2 linked regions of the Alligator mississippiensis genome follow. Each later gene encodes a partner of the first gene's protein in a complex. Links are inferred from orthologs where the notes say so. Each region holds a gene or a part of one and is shown on either strand. Other genes may lie near its edges.

What was found.
Region 2: the proteins of ITGAE (region 1) and ITGB7 are in contact, whole or in part, in a cryo-EM structure (PDB 8ZJF), measured with the Homo sapiens proteins. The link is inferred for Alligator mississippiensis from reciprocal best matches to the Homo sapiens genes ITGAE and ITGB7. Residues at the interface, in NP_002199.3 of Homo sapiens: Phe36, Leu38, Arg91, His92, Arg93, Gly94, Leu111, Arg113, Leu118, Ser119, Ser120, Leu122, Glu196, Glu198, Arg230, Tyr233, Glu234, Phe237, Glu238, Cys239, Asn240, Ser259, Gln260, Val262, Met263, Leu266, Arg300, Leu401, Gln403, Phe406; in NP_000880.1 of Homo sapiens: Val201, Leu202, Pro203, Ser206, Thr207, Val208, Pro209, Ser210, Lys211, Arg213, His214, Cys216, Pro217, Arg219, Leu220, Glu221, Arg222, Leu255, Asp256, Ser257, Pro258, Thr291, Phe292, His293, Thr294, Ala295, Gly296, Asp297, Lys299, Leu300.

The regions. Positions count from the first base shown.
Region 1 is NC_081837.1:2,310,443-2,321,541, reverse strand, and holds the start of ITGAE (integrin alpha-E), read right to left. Parts: upstream 4,506-11,099; 5' UTR 4,471-4,505; coding exon 4,401-4,470; intron 3,875-4,400; coding exon 3,804-3,874; intron 3,333-3,803; coding exon 3,215-3,332; intron 2,681-3,214; coding exon 2,519-2,680; intron 1,583-2,518; coding exon 1,487-1,582; intron 1,221-1,486; coding exon 1,099-1,220; intron 580-1,098; coding exon 428-579; intron 1-427. UniProt on the Homo sapiens protein: Integrin alpha-E/beta-7 is a receptor for E-cadherin. It mediates adhesion of intra-epithelial T-lymphocytes to epithelial cell monolayers.
Region 2 is NC_081838.1:9,266,293-9,276,914, forward strand, and holds the start of ITGB7 (integrin beta-7), read left to right. Parts: upstream 1-6,484; 5' UTR 6,485-6,541; coding exon 6,542-6,691; intron 6,692-7,608; coding exon 7,609-7,696; intron 7,697-7,807; coding exon 7,808-7,881; intron 7,882-8,972; coding exon 8,973-9,168; intron 9,169-9,488; coding exon 9,489-9,659; intron 9,660-10,224; coding exon 10,225-10,466; intron 10,467-10,622. Other genes in the region: RARG (retinoic acid receptor gamma), read left to right, coding at 1-19, 419-560, 2,377-2,537, 2,821-2,997, 3,077-3,281, 3,449-3,607, 3,953-4,134. UniProt on the Homo sapiens protein: Integrin ITGA4/ITGB7 (alpha-4/beta-7) (Peyer patches-specific homing receptor LPAM-1) is an adhesion molecule that mediates lymphocyte migration and homing to gut-associated lymphoid tissue (GALT).

The sequences.
Region 1 (11,099 bases):
TTTGATACTATGAATTCCTATATGAAATCTCTGGGTTTTTCTTGTGAATCACATACAGGTGTTTACACACCCAACAGGGCTAATATAGTGCAACCCCCTGGATGAGAATCACTGCTCTGAAAGATGAAGAGCAAGCCAGCAACACAGGCAGTAAGGATAATTCTCTGAGCCTCGTGACTTAATTCCAATAGTTTACTAAATCTCCAGATCTCTCCTGCCCAGGGCAGGGGGTCAGACTAGAAAATCTACAAGGTCCCTTCCGACCCTACATCTATGAATCTATATTTGCAAAGCTGTGCAGCACCAGAGTCATTGATTTCTGATGCAGGCCTGGAAAGGTCTTCAGTGTTAGCTCTCCCCATCACTCTTGATGCACCCCAGGAATTCAGCATCTCCATTTTTTTTTTCTCTCTGCTTCACTACTTACAGGACGTGCTGGATGGCAGAGGCTGTTCTGGTCACATTGCGCAGCTGGATGACGTTCTGGATTTTCTGGAGAGTGGCACTTGTATTCCAGCTGTCCCGCAGGTCAAACTCTGTCCTGATGTCCATGCCATACTGGACAAGGGCAAAATTACACTGGGAAGAAGGGACATACAGGTGTTCATTATTACTAAAGGCAGAACCAGAGAACCCCAGCTCTTCATGACAGTGGGTCAAGGAAATCCCAACTGAGGAAACAGCATTAACGAGGCAGAGGCAGACAATACGAACATTTCAGACAGAAATCACACCTACGTGCTGAGGAGGTGGGTCCAGCATTTAACCTGAAAGCTGGTTTAGTTTGGGGAAAATTAGGGTCTCAATAATATTAACATTTTATTCTGCATTGTCCAGTTGGACCAGAGAATTTTAAGCGCAGGCTAAACTTATTTTTCAGGCTCTTGTTTTCATGTTATTTTTTTGCTCTATGTGCAGGCAGCAGAGGGAGCAGTTTGGAGTATAACTGAACAGACACACAGCTTTTGGCTATGCACTGGCCCTCCTTGGAGGTTTTCCATTCAATGACTGATTCTTGACTAACAAAACGGGGGAAGAGCAACAATAGCACAATACAGCATCTTCAGCGAGACCAACCAGACCAAGCAAAGAAGATACCTCGAAACACTTCTTATAGACTGTTTCCATCATGGTGTAGATGAAGGCCTTCGCCCTTTCAAAATCCTCAGGCTCGATGCTCCCGGACCCATCCAAAACAATAGCAATCTCTGTTCCTGCATCTGCCGGGGACAAGAATTCAAAGGATGCTGAAGGACATGGAGGCAGCAACTGGGAGTTCAGAGCGCCTCACCCAGCCCACCAGCAGTCCAGCATTGCAAAAAGTTTGTAAGGGCTCAATAGCCAGCTACCACAAAACCACAAAGCTGTTAGTTCACAGTCCGCATGGAGGGCAGAGCTGTTGGCAGCCACACAGCGAGTGCCCAGAATCAAGGGTAGCAAGTGATATTTAACAGCATGTTCCCTTGCAAGATATTTCCTCACTTACACATGTCGTCGTCCTCCTCCATGCCAGGCTCATAGCTGTTATTGTTCTTGTCGCTGTTTTCATCTCTATGCCCACCTTCTTTATTTGGGGGATTTTCTACTTAAAAAAAAGCAATTTAGTGTGTAGATGTACCTTGCAGCTATACCCTGTGCCATGATCCAGTGACAAGCCAACTCTGGGGCTTCATGCTTGTGCACTGTGCTGTCACCATCCTTTCAGTCTAAGAAGGATCAGGCTAACGTATGGGCTGAAGACTCGTGTGAAATGGATGACAGCCTTGCATCTCAGGTGGCCTGTTACAGTCCTGAGGTCCTTTAAAACAGGCATGCATAGTTGCTTGGGTCAGAGTATAAATGAAGGGGAAGCAGAGGTAAGTGGTGAATAGCATGAATTCTCCCTGCCTCATCTGCTGACCAAGGCAGGAGAAGGATGACATTTCTGAGGACAGCAGAATGACAGAGCTTTTAGCAAGGGTGTCCAGAACCCCGAAAAGGAACAAAGCTTCCCAGTGTTTTGAGAGGGGACGAGGGGAGAAAAACAGGCATTGTTTTCCCAGCATCCGTTCCGTATCAGGGGTACTGTGATCTGCCTCCAAAATAGCTGCTTCTTCGATCAAAAAGTCTTTATATTGAAGCTCGTAGCCAACAGAGTCTAATCAGGGCTGAGTTTACCGCCCTGTCACCCAGCCATGCTGACTATGTCCAGCTAATACTGTATTGTGGTTTATACACTTGTCCCCACAAGTGCTTCAGCAATGGCAGGGGTGTACTTGGTAGCCGTGTTGGTCTGAGACAAAAAGACATACAATGGCAGGAAACTTGCAGAGAAAGCTCAGCTCTTGGCTCATTACTGTGTTGCAGCACGGAAGACACACTGCTGCAAATCAGCCTTGGCCTGCCACATTTGGAATAACTTCATTTCCCCTCCACACCACCCTCCCACCTGCAGGGTGTGAGGTATTTAGCTGCATTTAACACACGTCTCTACCCTGCCCCCCTTAAGAGATGATCTATATTACCACCCAGCACTTACCTTTCATTACATGCTCGCTTCCTAAATCATCACGTGGGTGATTGCCAGTACTACGGATGCCCAGGGGGGTGTGTGTGCTGATGAAGTCGTCAGGTTCGATAACATTAACATTGTCCTTGTTGCTGCTGCTACTTTGGTCACTGCTGTTTAATTTGTTCTCAACTGTGCAAATGAAAAAAAAGGCAGGGGAAGTTTTTAGAAACACACATTTTTAAATAAAGCAGTTGGAGACGCAGCTCTGTGTCAGATCACAGTGGGTCCCGAGTCAGCCCTCTAACCTAAGAACCAATGGCACCTCGAGGCTGCCTGCCTGGCACTTTTGAAGATCGCTTTAGGCACCTGCTAATGGTTCTAAATCTGGCTGTACCTGCCCAATCCTCCAGCATGCACTAGGCACACAACACAACATAAGTACACCTTTGTATTCCAGAATGTCAAAGGCCAAATGCTTCCCAGACATTCACAACACACAAACTCAGAGCAAACACACACGTGTCACTCAGAGCAGAATTCAGCTCCAAATTTCTATCACCTAGATGCTCCAAGTGGGTGGCAGAAGCTACCCAGCCGGAGTTCAAGAGGCCTCTAGAGGCCTTCAGGGCAGCAGGGTTCGAATGGTACTCTGTGCGCAGCACAAAAGCAGTTCCCTCTGTCATGGTCCCTCCCCAAAAACATGGCATTGGCATTGTTCCATACTGATGTTGGCGAGGTTGAGGAAAGCCTTGTCTTGAAATTCAGGAGTAAGCAGGCTGCAGATTCCATTCAGGTCCTCCACAGTGCTAAAAGCTTGGCGACGCTTTTTCTGCAGACAAGCCTGTGTGGGGAGGGATGATTTACTGATGAATGGCAGCGAAAGGACCCGAAAGAAGATGGCCAAAGAAGCCACGTGCCAACATTTCAAATCAAACAGGCCAAAGAACCTCTCATCAAGAGTCACCAAACCATTCCCCTCTCTTGCAAAGTGCTGAAAGTCTCTTAGGAGAGAGACATAGCAATACGTGCCCTCCCCACCCCAGGCTTCCCTCTGCCAGCCTCTCCGTCAGGTTGGAGGGCTTCAGCAAAGCTCTGCTTCTTCTGACAGCAAAGTCCCTCCCCAGCCAAAGAGAAGGTGCCCCTGATCTCCCACATGGTAGATCAGGTGCTGTGGCTTGCGGACCTAGGCTTCCACCAACGCACAGCAGCTCATCTCCATAAGGTGTTTCTGACCACTTGTGTATCGCAGCAAATGTAACTTGTCCTCTACGAGAACACATCCAAGGCCTTGCTGTATTTTCCTGTCACTTACCAGGATCCATTCTGCACTTCTAGCTATAGCTATGCCACCGTCCTGGATATTTTTTGACTTAAAAACATTTCCTGAAAATAGTGAAATTAAATGTAATCAATAAATAGAGAAACAGCAAACAGGGTGGAAATATAGACAGGTGCATATGCTAATGCCCATCATCTCAGCATTTCTCATGCTTGGGCTGATCTTATAAATCCAGACCAGGGCTACAACTATCCAGGACGTCTTTAGCTGTAGTATTTACACTTAACCCATCTGTTTATATGCTAAGTCCAGCTCTGGGGTGATAGGCTTCATGGAAGCACACACAAGTCTTTCCATCAATGGTGATGGGATTTGGACCAAGCCTTACATGCCAGAGAAGTCTCTGAGCACTCATCAGCTTCCCCCTTTCTCAGCTAATGTGTATCTGGATTTCTTTTTCTCATCAGTGGTCCAAGACAACCTGGAGACCTAATGTATCAGGAACCCCTCTCTGCCTCCCTCCTGTCCTCTCTGTGAAGTTGTACTCCAGTGTTTGTCAGACTCCTCCCTCCCCCATCCTATTCAAAATTTACTTGAAAAAACTACTAAGAAGAATGAGCTGGACTGTACCTCTCAGACCAATCTCCTGACACTTGATCGCTTCTTTGGCAAGAGTGCACTTATTCAGCCTGCCAAGCATCCCGTTTTGGTTGTTAACTTCTGAGGAAGTTGCCAAAATCCTGAAGGATATGTGGAAGTAAAAAAAAAAGTACAATATACAAAGGAGTGTACAAAGCAATAGACAAAGGAGTGACCAGTGTAACCCTCCTGATCAGCATGACTTCCCCTTTATTTTGCACTGTGTCACTATTACGGCTGACCACTGGAGTGGGTTTATGTGATCGCTGCCTGGGACCAGATCAGTAAATGAGTCACCCCTCATTTTCCTAACCCCCCCATGCTAATACAACAGCTCTCCAGCCCAGATTGCAATGCTGAAGCTAAGAGTGTTTGTCATTTTAATACCATGAGCTATGGACATAGCCCCCCAGTGACTGGTCATATATCCAACCACCACTTTTCCCCAAAGATATCATGGAAGATGCAGTTTTCTGGAAAACATAAAATTCCCTAGTTTTAGAGCAAAGCATGGGACTGAATCATAAAACACCTGCCAGGTGAATTACACTTCTCTTTCTGCATCAGCCACTTTATGTGCTGCAGCAGGGAAGAGGAGGAGGGGGGTTTTCTTTTCTGCTCCAAAGCCTAAATCAGCCCTCCATTCTGCAGAAATGCACTGCCGCAGCAGCGATCTCCAGACACTACATGGGTTGTCTCCACATTAGCCTTCCTACTCCCCCAGCCCAGCCCCCCACTTGTATTCCTGACAAACCCACGAGAACTGCATCAGTTTCTATCTGGTTACCGTTTCCAGCCCAAGCTTGAGTCACACCTGGTAGCTGTGGGGCAGCAGCAGCTGCTGCTACCCAGAGATGAGACACAAAGCCAGGAAATGAGCAGCCTGGCAAACGTCGTAGTGGAAGGGTGGTCTAGTCACGCAAGCTGCTGCCTGTACAGCACGGTGACCCAGTTATGGGGGGAATGCAAGAGTGAAAGCAGCTTGAAATCCAAAGCCTGTGAAACAAATGCTTTAATGCATAAATGTTATGAAGGCTCCTAATGATAATGACTGGATATAAAAGCTAATTACTTACACACAAATTTATAAGGCTCCACAGAAGCCAAATGATGTTTTGTATCTCACAAGATGTTTAAACTAGGGCCTGGCACTGTGGGTACCAGGAGCATGATGGGGATTCCCAGTGCCCCCACACCAGGGAACAAGCATCCCTGAGGACCTGAGAGGGGGTTATTTCTTGACTCTTACCAGGCTTTGTGGCCATCAGAGTGCTGAAGAACCTTGGGCCAAGAAAGATGGTCTCCGTGAGGTGTCATCCACTTCTTGCTGGTGTCAATATTGAAACCCCTCAGGGGCTCAATGGCTGAAAACGAAAAACGTCATAATGGGCCACGACCTGCCAGGTGAGTTACCACTGCCCTGGTCACTGCTTACCCCTGGCCAGTGCCTTCAGCAAGGAAACAGCCAGGGGTATGATCCAGCTAAACCATGGAGCCTCACTGCTTCAGATCAAGAACCTTTCTGGTTCACCTTGGGAGACAGATGCAGTATGAAACATAATGTTGCTCTTTACTACTTCCCTTTAAATGAAGAGACAGAAAGCAGCTCCTGCTCAAGAGTTCAGAAAGCGCAGATGTAGGGAGACCATGCCCTGAAATACATCACGAGACAACCCTGCAGAGACTTTTAAGGCTTCAAACACAGCCTAATCCAAGGGGTGGATCCAGCGAGCACTTGGAGGGCTAAGAGCAGGTTCGCACTGGTCATTAGGAGGTCAGTTCAGTGCTGGAATGGACTGAGCTGGAATTAAGACCTGCAAGGCAGGAAACTTATCCATCCTAGTTTCAGTACAGCTGGATTCCCTTCCCCACCCCATTCTTGCTCCCAGCTGGTAAGAAATCACTGTGGCTTGTGCAAGCCTCACGTCACTGAGGATCTTTATCAGTGAGGTCAGGACTGGTAAAAAAAATGTTACTCAGCAATCTTGGAGGCTGAAAGCATTTACCTGCAGAAGACAGCTTGGACAGCAGCAGGATTCACTTTTTCCAGCCCCCAACCATCTGTGCCTAAAACCCCCACCCAGCACAACTAAGTCTAGCAGGATGAGAGTGTGGAATTCATGGGATTTCTGCCCTTTTTGGTTCCTTTTTTGAGAGTCCTGATGAGAGAAGAAATGAAAGCCCAACATAGAGTCAGGTGTGGGGATGTGGATGCAGCGCCAGAGGCAAACCATTAAATACACAGCCCTCAAACGTCATGCATACTCCGTGCTGTCCCAGACTGAAAATGTTAGTAAGCCGGACAACCTGAAAGACACACAGAACGTAGGGTGCAATGACAAACACCAGTTGAAACACTTGACTTCTGTTGAAATATCCAGGGTTTGCAATGCCCTGACAATTCAGAAAACTCTGCGGTTTGCTCAGAGATGAGACCCCAGGGCACTCTGGTTCCAAACTCTGACAGTGCCTTTGAGATGCTAAACTAAAACTGGATTAACATTTTGTAAGTTCTCCTGCTGTGACCAGCCTGACCTGCCAGTGCAGTTTGCATAGCTTATATCCCCCTTTGAACAGTCATCCCAGGATTTTGTCCATTGTCCCTTCTGCTGTTCAGACTGTGGGAGAGTCAGATTCTGTTTGTGTTCACACCAGGGGCGGTGGTCTTGTGACCAAGAGCTGAGGTGGATCTTACAAAACGCATGGAGGCAGAATCATTGCCCAACCACCCTGGCTGCCAAAATACAACTGAGGGGTGGGAACTGAAATACTGTGGCCAACACAGTTTCCTGTAGCAGACTGTTCTTAAAGCTTTGCTTCTTCTTCCTCAGACATGCTACAGCGGCTTGGTGTGCAACTTATTTTGGAACTTGGGAGGCCTAGTCCAGGCCACCTTTCTGCTTTGCAAATCCTGTGCTAGCATTCAGACACCTGACTCCTGCACTCTTGCATCTAACTACAGTTATTTGAAACCCAGGCTTTTTGCCTCTGCTGCAGGCTGGCATGACATACCTGCCTCTGACACATGCATCATATGCAAGACAATCTGCAACAGCTTCATCCTGCTCTGGTTGCTGATTTGCTATTTGCATCAGAGCAAAGACTATTTCTGGCTCTCAAAGTGTTCAAAGAAGGCCACAGCCTATGTTAACAGCTGCATTTGAAGTAGCCCAGTGCTCCTCTGTTTCCACATGTGGCCCACTAACCTCAATGGGGTTGTACTGATGATACACAAGAGAATTTCACCTCTAGTCCCATTGTACTTTGGGACCCCATTCTGAGCTCAGTTAAATTTATGTTAACTTGAAGCAATTCCAGTGAATTCAATTAGATTAATGCCAGATTTATGACAACGTCATTTATATAAAATCCTGGCCCTGTGTAAATAAAGACAGATCATTACCACTACCAAATACACAAATATTCATTAAACCATCCGTTACAGCCTGTAACATTTTCTACTTCTAAAAACACCAGTTGTGCTGATTATCAGCAATCCTTCGGCACTTGGCTCTGTGCTTGCAGCTCCATGTTATCAGCCTACTAACCATACATAGTTTCTGGAGAGAGATTTTCCAAAGAAAAGTGTGCCAGTTACATTGAAATGCATCCTTAATACAAACTGGTACACTGCAGACATTCCTGCAGAGCTTGTCACAATAGGAAGGATGCAGGACACCAAAGAAACTTTCCACTAATAACTTGTTTCAAACCAAATAAAGAGCCCATATGTGGATGTCCCTATGCATCGTTGTTATAATTCATGGGTCCCTGATCTTTACTGACTCATGAACTACAATACTGAGTCAGTAACACACTGAGGGCAACACTATACTTTGCTCTCTCCATCAACCTCTGTTTTAGCTTTTTATTATCCTGCGTGGCAGTGAGCAATGCTGGAAGGTCTATGGGGAAAATGTTTCCTGCGAGTCTTGTGTTGGGGGTCACTGCTATAGTTGGTCTTGATTGCTCCTTCAAACTAATCCTTTTTGGTGATCCTTCCTTGTAATCTCAATTTACTCCCCGCCTGCCACCATCATCCCACCCTCTGGATTCACGTTGGTTCATCTTGTTTCACTTAAAGCTTGCAATCTTGAGAACGTGCCTGTTAGCAATGCTCTGTAGGAGCTGACAATGCTGTAGTCACACCACAACAGACTCACTGCATGTTGTGGCTTTCTTTTTCAGTTGTCATAATTTGTTTCAGGTTTCTGATGAGAGAAAAAAAAAGGCTAGACACCGTCTCACTGAGAAGTGGGAGGCTTTATTCAATAGCTCCAACACTCAGGTCCTTGCCTTGGGCTATTGGTGCAAAAGACATCGCTACTGTTTCATGGGGTTCATGGCACTTAGAGACAGGTCTGCAGAACAAGGACAGGACTAGGGGGATGCTTCTAGAAATGTGCATCTTTGGTTGTAGCACTGATCTAATAGTGTCCAAGGATTATGGGATCACGTCGTAGCAAGGTTCCCTGTTTTGGGAGCCCTGTGCATGGTTCAGTTTCAGGCCTCTATTCTTTACTAAACAACAGGGGTGACAAAAATTGGCTATTTTTGCGGTTTAATTGTGTCATGAGGAGCTTTTTTAGGATTTAAATGAGTTTGCTATGTTGCAAACTAAGCCACTTCCGCGTGCAATATTATAACATTGCAGCCTTTGACAGTTCACCCCCCCCCTCCCCCCCGGGTGCCACGGGGGAGGCGGGCTGAAGGCAGAAGCAGTGAGGGGCCTGATCCTTTTTTTTTCCCCCATGGACCTGCCCACATCTCCCACGGCCGGGGGGCGAGTTGCCGGTGGGCTGAGCAGCGCCTGAGCTGCGGAGAGCCCCAGTTCTTCTTTTCACCATGGCGGCACCCCAGGAGGCTGCCCAGGTAGCAGGCAGGTGCTGCCCCAGCCCGGGCTCAGAGAACTGTTGGATCAGGCTGGGTGCTGCCTGTGAGCTGAGGCAGCACTGGCCCGCTAGCTGCCCGCCTGGGTGGCCCCAGGGGGCACTGCTGCCATCCAGGTCTGGGGAGGAAGGTCCAGGGCTCCCCCCGCACAGCTCAGGGGTAGCTCAGCTTGCCCCCTGGCCGTGGGAGAAGCAGGAAGGCTCCACAGGGCGGAAAAAAAAAAAAAAAAAAAAAGGATCAGGTCCCTCACCGTAATGCCCCTAAATTGAAATGGTGAAATTTTAATTGCAATTAAAAAAATTTGCCATTTCAATTTAAAGAACTAAACCCCTGTCACATGTACAAGCAGTTCAGGACTTAAAGCATAACAGTAATGCAACAAGGCCCCTCCACAGCTCAAGTCCCCTTACAACTGCATGGTTTGCAGTGGTCACGGTTGGCCTCTGAGCCCCTCCTATCAGACATGGTTTTAAAAAAACTACAACTGTGTTGAAATCACTTCCCCGTGGAAAGGCAGACATCTTCAAGTCAGCAGACGCTTCTTAAGCAGACAATTGTGCATGACGCATCCCAGCAAAGGGAACTGTGGCTGTGGCAAACCTCTGCTCTTTTGACTGCTTATGTGATATGAAGTGGCTTAGGACTGGAGGCAGTGTGGGCTGGAGTGACTGCAGAGCTTGGAGCCAGAAACACTTGTAATTTTCAGCTCAGCTTTGCCACCAACTTAATGCACACAAGCCAATCGCTCCCTCTCTGTGGGTCAGTCTTCCCCCTCCTTGTAAATGAAAGATCAAACTAACTTTCCTTCCTTTGGCATTCCAAAGATCGATGCTTTAACATTTGTACCGAGCTTTGAATGTGTCATAGTTAAAAATATATTGTAAAACACCCAGCAGCTTTTTTGTGCGTCATATAACTGAATTCTGTGGGTGAAACATCTCTAGAGAGTATATATTATGGGAAGATCTGCTCAGAAGCTTCTAAGCACGTAATCAAGACATGCTTATACACGGAGCCCAGCTTTTGTCAGCTATTACCCAAGAAAGCGCAAACCACATGCACAAAGGGTGACACAGAAAGTAGAAAAGTGAGAGAGCAGAGCTTCTGTGTGCTCAGATGAGCAGAGAGTACAACCCCCCTCCACTTCAGCCCCTCATTTTAGTGCAGCCTTACATAGGCTACCTCAAGACAGGAGAGAGTCTAGGGAATTTTAGCTGGTACTGTAAAAATCCCCACACAACAGCTGCATGTTTAATAGACTGAAAGTTGCTTATGCCAACTTTGAGATTGAGTATTTTATCCCACGTCAGAGGTCTCTGCCAGCACAAATGGACAATACACTCCCCTTCCATGGCTGTCCTATGAAAACTACTTGAGATTCATGCCATTTAATATTGCACATGTTAAAAACTATATTTAAAGAACGTTAATGTGGCAAAGCCAAGCAGTCAAAAGCTAGGATACGTCAGACTTAAGGTTACCTCTGCAAGGCACTCCCTTGAAGCCAACATGCCATCTCTGCCAATGCCAAGCTCCTGCTCCAAAGCACAAAAGTGCAACGGATTCTCAATTAAGTGGCTGCTAAGCACCATGAGGAAAGCAGCATTTTTTTGTCATTTATTTCTTCCTCGTACATTTTGAGAATTTGGAATAATTTTGCTGAAAGGTTTTGAAAAATAAAATCAGCCCTAGGCAGACAGGCATGCAAAAATTCTGCCCGATTGGCAAAACAGTTACAATAGTGTAAGGGGGATATTTCAGCCGGGATGGTCCAGAAATTATGCAAAGTTCTGTGCATAG
Region 2 (10,622 bases), on another chromosome or scaffold:
CTCCTGCGAGGGCTGTAAGGTGAGCGCACATGTGCATGCGCATGCATGTGCACACATAAGCGTGCATGCACACGGTGCTCCCAAGGGGCCAGGGACCTGCTAGCTGCCCCCACCCAGGAGAGGGGAGACCAGGGCAGGCAGGGTCAGAGACAAGCACAGAGAGCCCCTGGGCCCTCCCGATGCCTTCCCTACCCCCAGCTCAGGCCCCCCATATACCCCAGGCATGGACCACCCCTTGCGCCCAGGGTTATGCAGTCAGGCTGGGGAGCGGGGGTATGATCCTGGGTCCTGGAGTGCCCAGGGCAGGGGCAAGACTCAGGGCAGGAGAGAGCCCGTGATCGGTCGGGGCTGCAGGGTGGGGGTGAGGTTGGTGCCTGCCTGGGGCGCTGGGCCCTGCTCACTTCCACACTCCCCACAGGGCTTCTTCCGCCGCAGCATCCAGAAGAACATGGTGTACACGTGTCACCGGGACAAGAACTGTCAGATCAACAAGGTGACGCGGAACCGGTGCCAGTACTGCCGGCTGCAGAAGTGTTTCGAGGTCGGCATGTCCAAGGAAGGTGAGCCCGGGCAGGGGGGGCTCACGGGCCCCCTGCACTCTCCTGCCCCTCTGTGGCTGATTCTGGGGTGCAGCTGGGTCCCGCGTCCCGGCCGAGTGCGCAAATGGGACCGGCGGTCTGCTTGGCCGGCAGGGCATGGCTCAGCTGTGGGGTCAGACTGTGCCTTAGTTGCCTGGGCCCAGTTGTCGTGGCCCCAGCCTCTGCTGCTGGGCTGGTCTCGGACTTGCTAAATGTGGTGCCTATGCTGGGACGTGCTGGCACGCACTGCCAACATGTGTGGCCATGGGCACGTGTGGGCAGACCAGCCCTGGGGCACCAGAGCCATAGGGAACCTGGTCCTTGATCCCAGCAGGGCAGGACATGGGGTCTGGCTCGTGTTGCTCTCCGAGGGCTGTCAGAGGCTGGCGGGGAGATGGAGTGTCTCTCCGTGCTGTTGCTTTTACTCCCCCCGGCGAGGGCTTGTCCCTGTGCCCGTTAGGGCAGGCCCCCCATTCATCACCGTCTCCTTAAGAGCCCCTAATTAGCCGTGTCTGTGTCTGCTGAGATTGATTTCCGGGCGCCTGTCACTTTAAGAGTGGAAGGGAGGGGGGATTATGGGATGCAGGGAGACCTGTTGCCTAGGAGACAGGAAGCAGGGGGTGTTGGGGGGGGTTTCGGGGTGCCCTGCAGCAGGGGAGGGGGTGTTGGAGCTGCGGGGAGCTCTCCTGGCCCCCTCCCCAATGGGATGGAGGATGGGGTAGGGGGGTCTCCCAGATCCGCAGCCCCTGCCCCGGGGCTGAACAGGGTGGGGGTGCCAGCTGCCCCGGTGCTGGAGGGGGATGCCCCCCCCCCCCCCCCACCGGCAGCCCTGTGCCGGGGCGGCTATAAGTGGATATCCTGCCGCTGGCGCATCCTGTTGGCAGCTCCTGCCTGGTGCAGTCGGGTTAGCAGGAAGTGCAGCCGGGCGAGCGCCGCGGGGGGGCAGCACGTGTGCGGGGGGGCTGCTGAGCTGGGTCTGGTCTGCGGGGCACATGCTCCCCTGTCTTGTGCAGGCCGTGGGCAGCGCTTCCTCCCCCCGCCCCCCAGCCCAGCTCCCCCAGGCACCTGGGGGCAAAGGTGGGGGGGTCATTTTGGTCCCCCTCCTGCCCCAAGGGAACCCAGGGCAGAGCCCTAGGGAGGAGGAAGCTGGGAATGCATCTCCTCCAGCCCCCCAGCACCAGCAGCCAGTCGCTGTGGGGTTTTCCCCGGCAGGCAGCCAGTCTGGGGCCGTGCTCCCAGCTGGCAGGTGCCCGCGCAGGTGCCAGTGCACGCTTGCGGGACACACCTGGGTACAAGGGGGGGAGCGGTGGGGTCTATGGCCTGGCTGGGGGGCAGAAAGGGGTGGGAGGCTGGCTGGGCCGTGCCCCCCTGGCTGTGGCGCTATCCAGCCGCCTTGTCCTCGGCTTCCTGTTTTCCTGCGGCCGAGAGCAGAAATCTCGGTGGTTTCCAAGCTGGGGCGGAGGGGGGAGGGAGCCCGATGCCTCTCCGGCACAGCTGATACCAGGCTGCCCCTGTGGTGCCCGGTGGCCAACGCTGCCACCAAACCACCTGCCCCTCAGTGCCACATCAGTGGGAGAGGTCTCCAGGGGAGGGCTGGCCTGGTATGACCCAGCTGGGAGGTGCCAGGCTGCTGCCCCGGGAAGCCCAGCTATGTAGGCAGCCTTTCACAGAGCCCAGGGGAGGTGGGGAAACCGAGGCACGGCGCCACCCTCAACTGGGGTGTGGCTCAGGGTCTCAGTTCAGGCCACGTGGCTGCCCTGCGTGCTGACCCCCACCCCTCGCCTGCTCTGCCCCCCAGCCGTGAGGAACGACCGGAACAAGAAGAAGAAGGAGGTGAAGGAGGAAGCAGTGGGGGACAGCTACGAGCTGACGCCCGAGCTGGAGGAGCTGATCCAGAAGGTCAGCAAGGCGCACCAGGAGACCTTCCCCTCGCTGTGCCAGCTGGGCAAGTACACCACGGTGAGAGCCCCTCCTCGAGCCTGGGTTGCATGTGTTGGGCTGCTCACTGCTGTCGCGAGCGGAGGAGCGGAAGCCGTGCTCAGCCCGGCTGGGGGATGCGGGAGGTGCCCAGACACAGCTGCAGTGCTGCAAGCCGGGCACCAGGTGGCACCTGGTGTGCTCCCAGCAGGACGCCTGGGTTCCTTGGACACCCGGGTTTTCTTCCCCAGCCTGCGAAATGGGTGCAGAAGCCCCCAGCCCCTCTCGGGGCACCGCTCGGCCTCAACCCCTTCCCCTCACGCAGAACTCGAGCGCTGACCACCGGGTGCAGCTGGACCTGGGGCTGTGGGACAAGTTCAGCGAGCTGGCCACCAAGTGCATCATCAAGATCGTGGAATTCGCCAAGCGCCTGCCCGGCTTTACCTCACTCAGCATCGCCGACCAGATCACTCTGCTCAAAGCCGCCTGCCTGGACATCCTGGTGAGGGGCAGGGGGCGGCCGGGAGGGGGCCGTGGCAAGGAGGGGGCCGTGCAGGGCTGACCCCTGCCCGCTCTCCCAGATGCTGCGGATCTGCACGCGCTACACGCCGGAGCAGGACACCATGACTTTCTCAGATGGGCTGACGCTGAACCGCACACAGATGCACAACGCTGGCTTCGGGCCCCTCACCGACTTGGTGTTTGCCTTCGCCGGGCAGCTGCTGCCCCTTGAGATGGACGACACTGAGACCGGGCTGCTCAGCGCCATCTGCCTCATCTGCGGAGGTGCCAGGGGCTGTGGGCTCAGGGTGGGGGGAGCTCCTGGCTGTGCCAGTCCCAGCGGGCGCTGGGGGTTGTTCCCGGCTGCTCTGTTCCCCAGCGGTGCCAGCAAGGGGTGCTGCGAGCGTTGGGGGCAGGGGGGCAGCAAGGCTCAGACCGCTGGTGCCCTGCAGACCGCATGGACCTGGAGGAGCCTGAGAAGGTGGACAAGCTGCAAGAGCCGCTGCTGGAAGCGCTGAAGATCTACGCGCGCCGGCGCCGGCCCAACAAGCCCTACATGTTTCCCCGCATGCTCATGAAGATCACCGACCTGCGCGGCATCAGCACCAAAGGTAACACGTGCCACTGTTCAGGGAGCTCGCAGCCTTGGGTCCAGGCATGGCACTGCTGGCGGGAGCTCGCAGCCCCAGGGATGGGTGTGGCACTGCTGGGGAAGCTCACAGCCCTGGGGCCGGGTGCAGCACTGCCGGAGGGCGGTGGTAGGGGGCGAAGCTTGCAGCTCACAGCTCTGGGGCTGGGCATAGCACTGCTGGGGGAAAGCTTGCAGCCTGGGTGCCACAGGCTGTCCTGCAGCGAAGAAGCTGTCTCTGCTTGTGCCCACTCACATCCCCGTGGCACTACTGTGTGGAAGCTTGCAGCGTGGCCCCCTGCGCCAACTCTGGTCCCTGTGTCGGCAGGCGCGGAGCGGGCCATCACGCTGAAGATGGAGATCCCAGGGCCGATGCCGCCCCTCATCCAGGAGATGCTGGAGAACCCCGAGATGTTCGAGGACGATGTGTCACAGCCGCCTGCGGCCACTGAGCCCCCCCACGCTGCTGACAGCCCGGGTGGGGACCACAGCCCCGAGGAGACCCCATAGCGCCCAGGCGTGCCCCTGCCAGGCTCCTGTGCCCGCCGGGCCGGACACTCCAACCTGCCCTGCCCCGCGGGGGCCGCGCAGCACGATACGGACGCTGACTTGGGCCCACAGGCCCACCCAGAGGTATAGCCCTTGCCTTAAGTGGGGTGGGGGCAGCCTGGACCCCTGCCCTACTCCAGCCCAGCTTCTCATTGCCAAAGTCCCGGGCAACCTCAAGCCAAAAACGGGGGCGAGGCCGAGCCCCGGATAAGGACCAGGGGGGTCCCCTCCGCATGCATTTGCTGCCCCCCCCTGCACCAGCAGAGACAGACCCTGGCCTGTGTCCCTGGGGGGGGGCATTGAGACGCCCCGTCCCCAGCGGATCCCCGCCGTGAAGCCGACCAGCTGCGAGGGACCCAGGCGTCTGGGGCTGTATTTATTCGACTCGCTGAAGACGAAGAGGGATGGGGCCAGGGGATGACACGGGGGCGCCAGCCCCCGCCCTGCCCTGCCTCCTGGAGCTGTGGAGAGGGGGGTGTAACGGGGGTGGGGGGGACGCGGATCTCGGGGCCGAGGTCCAAGTTTGGGAGGGAGCCGCTACCGAGGTTGTTGCTGTATAAAGTGTGAGTGGGGGGGGCTGGGGGTGCGTGTCGGGGGGCTGCAGAACGGTGCCTGGGGTGGGGAGGGGGGGCTGGGGCTGCCCTGAGCCCATGGGTGCTGAGGGACATGGGACCAAGGGGACTGGGGGGGGGCAGGGGGATTCCTCCAACACGGACTCCCCAAGGACCCCCCTCCCGGCACATGCCCCCGCTCTGCAGATCCTAGGGGCTGCTGAGCCTTGCCTCCCCCAGCCTCTGGCTTGGTCCTGCCCTGGGGGGGCCTGGGGGTCCCGACCTGCTACACTACAAGCTGGAGGGTGCAAGGGCGGGGGGGGGGGGTGCTGCAACGCTATGCACAGGTTATTTATTCCCTTGAGTTTACATGGGATGCGGCGCCCCCCCATCCCCAGCCTGCCCAGGGGGGTCCCTGCTGTCCCCCTGTTGCATCCAGTACTGCGAGGAGCCCACCCGCAGCCCCAGGGTAGCCCAGCGCCCCCAGCCGGGGGGGCCGCGCCCCGGCACGTTTACAGCCCCCCACCCCCTGCCCGCCCGGGCAGCACTTTTCTATTTTTGCAAAATAAAGCGATGGAAACATGCCCGTGGCCCGCACGCTGTCTGTGTCCGTGTCCGCTGAACGCTCCCGAGCCCCTGGCACGTGTGTGGCTTCATGTCACCGCAGGCTGGCGTGTCCCATGCCACGGCCCTGCCTTGCCTGTGGCTGGCGTGTCCATGCCACAGCCTGGCTCCAGGCCTCGGTGCTGTCTGCGCGGCCTGGTGAGGCCGCAGGCAGGTGCAGCTCTCAAGCCTGGGTGGTTGGGGGGGCTGCCAGCGATGCCCCCTGTTCCCAGCAGGAGGCACCTGTGGCACGAGGAATGGGGGCAGAGGCAGCAGCACCCCCTGGTGGCGGCCGGCAGGAGCCAGGCCCTGGGGCCACACGGGTTCGTGGCGGGAGGGGGGTGCTGTGTGCACCAAACCGCCGGCAAAACAGGAAGGGGGAGATGGAGCAACTGCTGCGGGCGGAGCCCCACCGCCTGGACACGCTGCCTGGGCACTCCCCTGCCCGTGCAGGCAGCTCCCTGTGCACGCGGAGGGTCTGCCTTGTGTGTGCTCATGAGCAGGGTGCAGCCCCCCGTGCACAGCCGTGTGCACCGCTGGTGCATGCACACGCCTGCAGACCCTGGTGCCAGAATGCAGACCCCCCCGGGCACCCCCCCCCCCAAATGTGCATAGTGGCACGTCTCATGCACACGCACGTACGCAGAGCCCTGCCCTACAATCTGGGCACTGCCAGGTAGGGGCACAGCTCCCCGTCCCATGCACAGTGCAACTCCCCCACCATAAACACACACATACACAGATACATGCACACACACACGGCACCCACGGGAACCCACTGCCCCACACACACTCCTGTGCACACACACCCTGTGCACACACACTGCCCCTGGGGCGACCAGGCTGCAGGAGGGCCCAGGGCAGGAGGGTGGGGCTTAGGGCTGCCAGGATGGACATGGGGGCAGGATGGACATGGCTGTGACTGCAGACGCCCCAGCTTGGGGTCCAGGCCTGCACGTCCCCCCAGCTGCCCCCCTGCATCTGGTGGGTGATCCAGGGCCGCCCCCTGCACCCGGTGCAGTGACCTAGGGCAGTGGCGGTGACCCCAGCACCCTCGGGCCTGGCCCCAGTGGCCCAGCCTGGGTGATGCCCCTCTGCCCCCCAATCCCACCTCTGCCTCCAGCCCCTCCTGCCTCCATCCCTGCCCCTCGGCCCTCCCCCACGCGCTGCGCCCCACCCCACCCGTGGTTGTGGTTTCCTATCACAAAAAGTTGATGCAAATCGCGGTGCAGCTGCCTGGGGAGTTACGGCCACACGTATCGGAGGCTCCGGCCGCCACCCCCTCACCTGGCACCGTCCGTGGCTGGAGCCCGGAGCCAGCCATGCTACTGCCTCCAGTGCCAGGCACCTGCCACCGCAGCAGGGTGAGTGTGTACGGGCAGGGCCCAGGGCTGGGGACAGAGACGGAGGCCAAGACCTGGGGCTGGAGAAGGAGGGATGATGCCACTCCCAGGCAGATGGGACCAGGGGTAGGCAGGGGTCAGGACTTAACAGAAGGAGGCGGGCAATGGAGAGCGGGGCAGGCACCACAGCTGCAAGAGAAAGGGAAGAGGAAGGGGAAGGAAAAGGGAGCGCGACGGCCAGACGGGCCAGGCCTGTGCTACTGTCCTGGGCCCTGCTCCGGGGGTGGGGATCGTACTGCACCGTGCGCAGCCGCCCAGGTCCCTGCTGGCTTGGAGCGGGGTGCTGGGTTTGGGCTCCTCCCAGGCTGGCGGGGCTGGGGCAGGACCGGGCACTGGGTGCGGCTGCTCCAGCGGGCACACAGCGTGCCATGCACGACACCCGGCTGCAGCCTCGAGGCACTGTGGGTGCAGACAGCCCTGCCTGACCCTCGGAGCCAGGAGCGGCTCTCGCGCCCACGGGTGGGTCCTGGCGTCTCCGTGGGCAGCTCTGGGCATGGCCTGGCCAGCCCCGTGGGCAGCCTGGGTCCCGCCACCCAGGGCACCGAGGGGGAAACCGAGGCAGGGAGTGTCGGGGCCGGGGAGGGGATCCAGAAGTTCCCGAACCTGGTGGTGCGCTGCGACTGCTGGGCCTCGCTTCCTGCCCCGCCGTGCCGAGCCCCTGGGTTGCGTGTACGAGCAGCTGGGGTGGGGTGGGGGGGGCAGCTCACACGCACACGTACACGTATACGCTGCATGCAGAGGAAACGAGCGGGTGCGGGGGGATGCGGGCCTGAGGGGGGCACCTCTGAGCCCCGGCTGAGGGTGTCGCAGCCCGTGGGAGCCCCTCGTGCGACTCGCACGGGTACGGGCGGGACACCCCCTCACCCCTGTCCCCGCAGGCGATGCCGCGGGACGTGTTGCGCGTGGGCCTGGCCCTGGCGCTGCTGAGGCTGGTGGCCGGGACGAGCCCGCAAGAGGCTGGAGCAGGTGAGCAGGGCGCCGGGGGGATCGGGGGGCCTGGGGCGGTGCGGGGCTGGCGCTGCTTCCGCAGCCCCTGGCCCTGCCAAGCGTCACCCCCGCCTCGTGCGGTCCCCGCAGGTGCCTGCCAGCCCCAGGCCTCCTGCCAGGATTGCATCCGCTCCCACCCCAGCTGCGCCTGGTGCAAGGACCTGGTAAGCATGTGTGGCGGGGAGCGGGGTGGGCTGCAAGCAGAGCAGGGCATCCGCATCCCAGCCCTGCTATTGCCCCTCGTTCCTGACCCGCAGCCCCTGCCCCGATGGTGCCCCTCGTTCCCAACCTGCAGCCCTTGCTGCCCCCAGCCCCGCTGGTGCTTCTCCTGACCCGCAGCCCCCTGCCCCCCCCAGTGCCCCCCCCACAGCCCCCCTGCCTGGGCTCCACCGCCGCCCCGTGTCTTGCCCTCAGGTGATCCCCGGCAGCGGGAGTCACGTCCCAGTCGGGCCGTGGCCCCAGGTTCACCTTCACTCTTCTCCTTTCTGTTCTCGGTCTTTCTCACGAAAAGGCCAGGGGAAATAACAAGCTGAGTCAGGGCACGTCCCCCCTCCGCCCTCCCCAGATCCAGCCCTCCCTTGGGGAGCCCCCTGCCTCCACCCCCAGCCCTGCCGGTGCCCCTCGCTCCCGACCCGCAGCCCCTTGCCCCCCTGCCAATGCTGCTGGTGCTGCCCACTCCCGATGCTGGGCTCCCCCCAGCCCCTGCTAGCTCAGGCCTGGCTGTCCTCCCCCCGTCTCTGGCAACCTGCCCCCTCGGACCCTAAAAAGGGCCTGGAACTAGGTCTGGCATGGGCACCCGTGGGAGCGGGGAACCGCTGAGAGCCCCGCAGGTGCTGGCAGCCCCCTCCCCCCCGGAAATCCTCCCCGGTGCTCCCCCAGCGCAGGGCAGGGGTAGGGGCTGCCTGTGTGCGTGACAGCAGCAGGCCACATCCTGCCCAGCAGCGGGGAGAGTGGGCTGGTGGGGCTGGGGCCGTTGGCCCGCATCTCACTTGGCTCTGGTTTCAGAGGCCAGCACCATGCTGGGGGAAACTGAGGCAGAGCTGCGCTGGCGGGGCAGGGTGAGGAGGCTGCGGCTGGCCTGGGGTGCACCCCCTGTCTGTCTGTCACCTCCAGCAGCAGGAAATGCGGGTGGCAAACGGCCACGATAAGGATCTGCGCCCATGCTGCACGTCTTGCACGGCGCTGGGAGGGGTGGCAGTGCCCATGGCGGGCACTAGACGCCCCTGACTCAGCCCTGGCCCTGTGCCCTTGGCAGGGGTTCCCGCAGGCGGGCGAGGGCGATGGGGCGCGCTGTGCCACGCGGGACGTGCTTCTGCGCCGTGGCTGCCCCCCGGGCGAGGTGGTGGAGCCCGACAGCGAGACCCGGGTGCTGGAGGATGAGCCCCTGAGCCCCAGCCACGGTCGCATCACCCAGCTCGCCCCGCAGCGCATTGCCCTGCGCCTCCGGCCCGGTGCGTGTTGGGGGCTGGGGGGAGAGGGGCCATGGGGCCCGGCAGCCTGGCAGGCATGTGGTCCTGTGTCACTGGGGGCTGGCGTGTCCCTTGCCACGGCCCTGCCTTGCATGCGGGTGGTGTGTCCCTGGTATGTCACCATGGGCTGGCGTGTCCCAGGCCCCGGCCCCGTGGCTCCTGGTGGGCTCCCACATGTTCCCCGGGCTTGGGCAGACAGACAGATGAGCAGAGGCTTGTCCCGCTGCCCTGCTGCCCCCTCCCATTGCGCCCCAGGCCCTGGTGACCCCGACCCCGAGCCCTGACCCGGGCTGTGTGCACAGGGGCGGCGCAGCGGCTGCAGGTGCGGTTCCGGCGAGCCGAGGGCTTCCCCGTGGACCTCTACTACCTCATGGACATGTCCTACTCCATGCGCGATGACCTGGCCAACGTGCGGCGCCTGGGCAGCGCCCTCCTGGACACCCTGCGCCGAGCCACCCCCTCCGTGCGCATCGGTGTGGCCCCCTGTCTGGACGCCTGGGTTGCACCCCCGGCTCCCGCAGGGCGACAGTCGGCTGGGACCCGGGACCCCTGGGTTTCATGGGCAGGGGTGTCCCTCAGGGTGGGGGATCAGGGTCTTTTTGGGGGTGTTCCTCATGGGCACGGGCTTGGGGGAAGGTCCTTTGGGGTGGAGTGGGGGGGGGGTTGGAGGGGTCCCCCAGGGTGGGGGTCCTTTGGCACAGGGGGGTTGGAAGGGTCCCTCTCAGGGTGGGAGGGCCTGGGTGGGTTCCCTCAGACCAGGGAAAGTCAGGGTGGGGAGGGGGGTCAGGGGAGACCCCTAAGGGTGGGGGGGGGGGGCTGGAGGCAGGGTCCCTCAGGGCAGGGGGCCCTTGGGGCATCCCTGAGGATGAGGGTGAGTCTCTCGGGGTGGGGGGGGGGCCCTGAGGTCAAGGGGAGGGTCCCTAGGGGGGTTCCCTCAGGGTGGGGGGTCAGGACGGGGATTGGGGGCAGGGTCCCTGAGGCCAGGGACCCCTGGGGCAGCCCCCCCACCCCTAGGCTGACGGACGTGCGGCCCCGCAGGCTTCGGCTCCTTCGTGGACAAGACGGTGCTGCCCTACGTAAGCACGGTGCCGGCCAAGCTGCAGAACCCGTGCCCCGAGCGGGGCGAGCAGTGCGCCCCCCCTGCCAGCTTCCACCACGTGCTGCCCCTCACCGCTAACGCCAGCGAGTTTGAGCGCCGCGTCGGGCACCAGCGCATCTCGGGCAACCTGGATGCGCCCGAGGGCGGCTTCGATGCCATCATGCAGGTGGCTGTGTGCGAGGTAGGTGCTCATATGTGGGTGCAACAGGGCCCTTGTGTGAGTGGGGGAGCGCTGCACGGCTGTGTGTGTCCACACGTGTGTGAGCCCAGGGGGGCTGAGTCCACAAAAGTGTATGTGCATGGCAGGGTGTGTGGAGAGCTGGGAAGGAAGGAAGCG